2 linked regions of the Oreochromis niloticus genome follow. The protein of the gene in region 1 interacts with the protein of each later gene in a pairwise test. Links are inferred from orthologs where the notes say so. Each region holds a gene or a part of one and is shown on either strand. Other genes may lie near its edges.

Region 1 (3,753 bases):
GATTCTGTCTGTTCGTGCGAATCATTTTTAGTTTAAACCGATGTGCGTGTGTGCACTTATCAGAGCAGACTGAATTACAAACTGCTTAATGAAATAAGTCCAAATTATCTGCAGCTGGATTGGCTGCCTCATATCACCCTGGAGTGTTTTCACTGTGTATGTGAAATACTCCTTCGCTTTCAAAGCATCATGACTCTTTCTCTACATGTTTGGGTGTCTGTGTGAGCAAATATTACCTTCGTGGGACTTTCTCTCCTCCCCCCTCGGTGTGGTTCTCTTCCCCCTCTCCCTGCATGTCTGGCACCGCTGCAACAAGGTCTTTTAAAAAATCAAACTGCTGCTCCAGCTCAATGCATTGCTTTCTGTGAATAAATATGAACAGTTTTCTCCTCAGCCTTACTTGCCAAGTGAAATGTAAGCTCGTATCAAAAAGACAGCAAGCTTAATGGTGTACATACTCATTTTAGCAACACATACAGTCTGAGTCACAGGGAAAGATTGTTTTGGCGGGCTCTGTCTTACACAGGCCAGAAATACTTTCAGATACAAGGGATTCGGCAATGTGCTGCAAATGTGCTCCACAGCACTATCAGGCTCCCACCACACAGTAAATCATGCTGTGTAACAGGATGCCATTTTTTTTGCAAAAGCGGCTCATAATAATTTTCCTTACTTATTTATTTATTTATCTTTTTGCAATGTATAGGGCCAGTCCTTGTCAGTTCATCAAATGCTTTCTCACCTCACCATCTTACCTGAAAAAACATTCCAGGTGGAGGATACACATCCTAAATAGGAATCGTAGAAAGTTTCAGGTCCTGGCTGTTATTAGCTTTCTCAAAAATATTTCAAGGGATGATATTTCCAGGTTTTTAGACATTTTCCAATATCATTTTTGAGGGGCTATTTTAATATGACATTATCTACTTTAAAGTGTTTTAGGCAATTTTTTCTTAGGAAGATGAGAAAGAAAAAAAATTATGCTAGGGAATTATTCAAAAACACTCCTATTTTCAACATTTCACTGAGGATTATTTTCTTGAGTAAACTAATGACTGTGAAGACCTGAAATTTTGCACAATTCCCATTTTGTGAAATTTGATTGAATGAGATGAAAGAACTTTGTACTGTTAAAACTAATCAGAAGAAAACTGACTTAAAATAAGTGTATTGTGTATATTATGAATAATCGTTATTTTTAAATGTGAATCAAGCAAAGCTACTTTAGTAAAGTCCAAGAATGAAATTATCGAGCTGGAAGTTCACCATGAGTCCACTTTAAAAATAAAGAAAATAAAGGCCTGACAGCATTTCAGCCACACTCAATAAAAACAAATACAATTCTATATAAACAACTTTCCCCTTTTCTTCAACTACCTCTTTCTGACCCTAATATACCTGAACAGCATATATCTGAACAGCAGATGGCTTTGCCTTCCTAAGAAGTTCATCTCCAACACAATGCAACACAATGAAGACAAACACAGAACTTACAGATGTGCCGTTGTCATTGTCTTTGCATTCCTAGATTGGGTGACTTGACAAGCCTTTGTAAGCAACGACTCCAAAAAAAGCTCCAGGGCTCTCGCTGATATCTTGGATAAGGGAAGTACAGTGAAGCAGTTGTGTGTTTGAACTTTAAAATCATCAAACATGCAATAATAGACAACTTGACACAACAACACAACAGACTGAGGAAGCATTTTTCTCTAATTATTAATCAGTCTTTGACTTTTACAATTTATCATTCAAGACAAAACTTGCACAGTGACGACTGCAGGCAGAAAGGATACATATAATAACAGGCACTGCTGCAGCCACTTTGCCTATTTCTTCATCTGTCTGCATAATCTTCTTAATCCTTGCCTGAAATGAGAAAAGGTCGATTTTTATGCATGTGTCTACAGAAACGCTTAAAATTTTCTTTTCCTTAAAAAAAAAATCATTTTCAGTGAAAACGCACTGAAATTCAGGGACAACTTAGTAAAGAGTTTGCAGTACACCACATCGAATAATGTGAGGTCCCCACAAAGTAACGGCAATCATTCCTTTTACACTAGTCACGTAGTGTGAGGATTGTAGATACATTATGCAGCTTATTATAATAAAGAATGGATTTATTCACATTTATTTGCGTGCCGCTTAGCCTAGCTTGAGATGCTAAAAACAACGTCAATTAGTAGACCAACTTAAATAGCACGCCTGCTATGTGTGTACACCACCAACTAATGACATATAGGGGATGTTTGGTCACTAACTTCATGAAATCAACTACTTTTCACTAAGGCACGTGCTTTGTAAACTAAATGGTTTGCGAGTGTTAGATGGCTTGTCTGCTCTCTAAGCAACAAAAGAGGCCGAATTCCACTTAAGCTAGTTACAGAACTTAGCTTTCCATGTTACACTTTGCTAACGTTAGCTTGCTTTGACACCGGCTCAGCACAGTTTAAACTTACCGGAGGAAATCTGGCGTTGTATTTCTTCTTTTTGCTGGGCATAATTAAATTACCTGGGTGGCTAAACTAAACTAAAATACAATATATGCTATATTCGTATTCTATTTCATACAGAAATTCGCCTCCACCGCGCACACACCAGATAGTGGTGGCTATCCGGCTAACTAGTTAGCACGTCGTCTTCGTCACTCGTTCCTCGGTGCGGTCAGTTTGTTTCCGCAGGGTCTCCGTGCCGTCAGGTTGGAGCGCATGTTGTTCCGCAAATGCAAAGAAACGAAATACTTTAACGATAGTAATGGAACAGGTTTATTTTTTAAAGCTTAACAAACACAAACACTGATGTAGGAAACTTACATATTTAACATGTACACATACCGAGGAACATGCAAGTTTCTTAAAAGTCGCTGAATCTAGTACAACATAACTTATTTTTATAATTATGTTATAGCAAAACGTAAAAATATATATTTATATCATGTGTTCCATACGGTCGAATTTGTGGACGAGGTACGAAATTTAATTGATGTATAAATAATTATTAGTTAAACTGTCAGCCACCTGAGTGGACTTTGGCTCTTAGATACGGAGGAGCTGCTGTGCTTATGCGGAAGATCAACACTGAACAACAAACTTGGACATCTACGGGTAGAGTAAGCCTTTATGTTCAAAGTTTAACATCGACGTGCGATTATTTACGTTTTAAATGGGAAAACTGTGAATGTTAAAGCGTCAGTTGTATTCAACAGCTGGCTAGAAATGGTTAATGTTTCTCTAAAAGGACGAGCGTGTACATTTATAAAGACTAGCTTGTCGGCTAGCTACAACAAGGCTAAAGCAGTCAGAAAGCTGTTCTACGTGTTCTTTGACATGTCAGCTGTAGGCGGTACACTGGGGTCGATAGCAGCTTTAGTGTGAAACAGAATCAGTGGTAGAGAAACGCTAACTTTCGCTGTTGTAGCAGGCTAGCTATTAGCATTCATAAGCAATTCAGTTGTCCACTTCTGTCGAAGTTTGGCAGGGTTGTAAGCTAATAAATCACAGCAAAGGGGTTGTAAGCTAACACAGAGGCTAAACCAGTGGTTTTTATAAAAATAATAACTGCATTCTTCAACTCAACAGGAAGGCTTCAGAACTTGTTTACTCGTGTAACTGCTATACCATTATGGAGGAAGAAGAGGGCCCTGTTGATGGCGAGATGAGGACCCCCTTTGCTGCAGAGACCTACGCTGCTGAAGCCATGGCTGCAGACATGGACCCCTGGATTGTTTTTGACTCTAGAAGAACTCCCAGATCCGAG
Region 2 (3,753 bases), on another chromosome or scaffold:
CTATTGTACTAGGTATGACTGTGCAATGACAATAAAGAGTGATCTCTTATCTCTAACCCTGGTTCTCAAAGTAGCATGAGTGAGATATCTCAGCAGACAGCCCTTCTTGCTGGGCAAAGCTTTCAGTTATTGTAATAGTGAAAGCTATTTAAAGGGGGCCAGGATGAAAGTGAAACTGAGGAGGTTAAGAATCTCTTTGAGCTCAACTCCAGATCCTCCTGTTCACGTCCCCTAACTAAATAAAGACCCCCAAATTTCCTGATGTATCCATCCATGCGAACACTTAGAATAACATACTGTATGAAGCCGTTATTGTTTCCGTTTCCTTTCAAATAACCAAGGCGATCAGCTTTACCTTAGCCCACATGTTACCTATCTTAAAGAACTAAAACTAATGCAGAGCATCAGCCGTATGCATTTCTCTTCCCTTCATCCCTCACAAACCTTTCCAGTCTGAGGAACAGCATTCTTCATGATGCGAGCCACATTAGCAATGGGAAGATATATGTCCTGTTCCCTGTAGTTCTCCTTACTGCTGCCGTCTTCATGGTCATTCAGATTCTCATCTCCATCATCTATAAAACACACACAGAGTCAGCTCTATGAGAACAAAGCCAAAAAGCACTTCAGTGAAGATGATGATTTTCTACTGACACTTTGTTTTTTCCTTACCTTCCTGAGGCTGGAGAACATAGTGACTGGAAGCCATGTACTCTCCAGTGATGCCCAGCTGGGAGGCGTCGGTGGTCGAGCTGTCTCCGTCCATCTGCAATACCACACAGCTGGCTTAGTTATTTGGATCTGTAGCACTACAGTAAACCCGTGAAGCCTGACTGTAGCCAGCTTCTTAGAGCCACACCTTAGGAATGATCTGAGTTATTTAGAAGGGTCCCTGCAAGCATGCTCCTCAAGGAAGGAGAAGATGTTTTCCTTTGGGACCACCACATGCTGTTTTACTATGCTCTGAGCTATGAAGCAGAATAAATAATGACAGCTTGCTGTTTTTCTCCGAAGCTACACTGTGACGCCAACACTCCGACTGACCTAGAGATGTCTGACATGGGCCAACACAAAAGAAAGTGCAGCTATGACCTGTTAACAAACCATTCATCCATTTTATTTATTGATCTTTTGTTTGACAGTAGCAGAACCACTGTTGTATCGAGTAGGGTAAGGTGTTGTTTAAATGAAAACAGAACTTTTAAAGTTTGAAGAAATAATTTTTTTAAATGGATCATGACAATGATCAGTGTTGACTGATTTGAGCATTTTTATCCTAATGTTTTAGGCCACATGTCAAGCCCTGCGATCAACAGCGAAACGTGCATCAAGGGTTGACCTAACAAGTGAAAGATCCCGGTTCGATCCCAGAAGGAGACAAATCCCTTTGGGGTTGTGTCAGGAAGGGCATTAAAAATAATACCAAGTAAAAGATGCAGTTACTGTAGCGACTCTTTGTAAATAAGGGGGCAGCTAAAAGTAGCTTTAATTTTTTGCAGGTTAGGACAGTTTAATTTTTTTTCCCTTTTAATACGTATGAATTAACGAGGTCCTTCAGTTATTCAATCAACTGGTAAGCTAAAGGCAAAGGCTACTTTATTATAACATCGCATCTATCAGGGAGAGAAGGCCATCACAATGTTTTTATAGCGTAATACGAAGTCATCCAACATTTCGGTGTACACTAAATATCGGTAGCTCTTACTGGGTGGAGATAACCTAGCCGTTAATAGTGCGCCAAACGTGTTTTGTGTTGTCACCGAATCCTGATACATGCGTGTGTTTTTGTTTTCCAGCAGACGGACTTGGCGGGTTTGTTGCTATTGTGTCCTGATGCTTGTTTTAGAGGGTTTATCATCAACCTGGGTTTCTACTAACGGCTAGCTTGGTTAAGTAGTGCACTTTGGTGCTCAGACATATTTTCTGACATGTATAACGAGGAATGCCACAATAACAGCGCTCCCTCATACTGTGCGCACTTTTATATCGGCCTGTGTGTTTACACTGAGAAATGTTTAACTTGGCATGACACAGCTAGCTACCCACTGGAACTGTTAGCATTTATCTGAAAGGGAAAACGTAAAACAGCTGTAAGCCAACGGTGAGGCCAGCTTACGTTAGCCACATGCTAAATACACTGGCATGTGTTTGGCTACCGTGTGGTAAGTAGCGGTTATCAGTCGCAGCTGTGACATTTTTAGCTAATGTTAGCTAATGTTAACCCGGGGATGAAGTTAGCCCGTGGGCTCGCCAATATTGGGGAAACCAGTGCTTTTAACGTAATGAAGAGAAGCTTTCCAGTGGGCTGTTACCTTCAGTAGTTAACCTATTCAGGCACACAGTGTCCCTTGAATACATTCTCACTGCAAATCCAACGCAATTCGCGTCCGCCTTGGCCTGTTCTTTGTGGTGCACAGCATAGCAAGACGTGACCGGGGCCGAAATGTTTAGTAGTCATTTTTAAACTTTCACCCGCTGGATACTTCCTGATGAGCAGCCCTCGTTCACCCAGACAACAAATAAAAAAATCAGACAGAGACGGACATTTCCATTCGAGCTAACGAGAAATCGGTTAGCAATCATTGGCCGGAGCCAGGAACAAACCTGCAATGAAGCCCTGGTTGGTTACCTTCCTGAGACGGCTGTTTGGTTGGACAGAAAATGGCTGCAAAAGGACCAGTCCCAGCGCGGAGCCGCGGCTGCACTACCCCATCTCAACAGTAGAGGCCCGTGCTGCGTTCAGGACCTTCAGTACCGCACAAGCCCAAATCTACATAGGAATGGTAGTTGGTACTGTTATCGAAATGTATGTCCAAGTAACATAAACGAAGTAGAAAACTCTTACATCGTTAGATAAAGTACACATTAGATATAATGTAATATCACAGAAAATGTAATTTTCTTTCGGTTTTATTAGTTCCTACATTTACGGCAGCAAGTTAACGCATCTTGTAGCGCGTGGATATCCAGACAACGTCTACGCAGTGTTGCCAACTTAGCGACTTTGTCGCTATATTTAGCGAGTTTTCAGACCCCCTTAGCGACTTTTTTTTCTAAAAAGCGACTAGCGACAAATCTGGCGACTTTTTCTGGTGTTATTGGAGACTTATTTATGATGACTTTTTGACGTGAAAGCGCGTATCACTCTTACTGTTAACAAGCAGCGGTGCTGCCGTGGGCACCTTACCCGTGCCAAAGCACTCACAGGCGGAGGATAGTCCTCCCCCAGCTGCTATCAGGGCAGGACATGTTCACACCTATGCGTCCAAACTGCAAATGAATCGTGCATGAGCGAAGCCGCTGCTCCCACACTGACTGTAACGCAGTCAGATCTTATTTTACTGTTATGCTGTTTTGTGGATCACAAGTTTTAAAACTACTTATAAACACACACACACACACACACAGTAACTCCACCAGAGTGCCGATTTCGGGTCACTTTTGCCGGTCCAAGCCCGGATAAAGGAGCAGGGTTGGAATTGTGACATTAAAAAACAATAATTGCAAAAAGAAATTTAATTTGTAGTTCTAAATAAATTCTAAATGCATTTAGGACGTTTTATACTGACTTTATGTCTCTTCCACGATGTTATTTCTCTCTCCAACAGGTTACAATTACATTAGCATGACCAATTATGCAAATTAGGCGTTGACGTCATTTAGCGACTTCTAGCGACTTTTAGGACAGCCAATAGCGATTTTCCTTACTGAGGAGTTGGCAATACTGCGTCTACGTGTTCTGCCTGTCGCCGC

The links. The genes of interacting proteins can lie anywhere in the genome.
Region 2: the proteins of drap1 (region 1) and nfyba interact in binary tests that used the Homo sapiens proteins (3 or more experiments, as listed by UniProt). The two-hybrid records come from large-scale screens. The link is inferred for Oreochromis niloticus from reciprocal best matches to the Homo sapiens genes DRAP1 and NFYB.

Annotation. Positions count from the first base shown.
Region 1 is NC_031967.2:4,881,780-4,885,532, reverse strand, and holds the start of drap1 (dr1-associated corepressor), read right to left. Parts: upstream 2,647-3,753; 5' UTR 2,499-2,646; coding exon 2,457-2,498; intron 1,867-2,456; coding exon 1,794-1,866; intron 1,589-1,793; coding exon 1,495-1,588; intron 363-1,494; coding exon 237-362; intron 1-236. Other genes in the region: lg3h11orf68 (UPF0696 protein C11orf68 homolog), read left to right, coding at 3,619-3,753. UniProt on the Homo sapiens protein: The association of the DR1/DRAP1 heterodimer with TBP results in a functional repression of both activated and basal transcription of class II genes.
Region 2 is NC_031981.2:37,510,733-37,514,485, reverse strand, and holds the start of nfyba (nuclear transcription factor Y, beta a), read right to left. Parts: upstream 2,606-3,753; 5' UTR 2,584-2,605; coding exon 2,473-2,583; intron 2,464-2,472; exon of another isoform or gene 2,313-2,463; intron 2,163-2,312; exon of another isoform or gene 860-2,162; intron 767-859; coding exon 673-766; intron 576-672; coding exon 445-575; intron 439-444; exon of another isoform or gene 1-438. UniProt on the Homo sapiens protein: Component of the sequence-specific heterotrimeric transcription factor (NF-Y) which specifically recognizes a 5'-CCAAT-3' box motif found in the promoters of its target genes.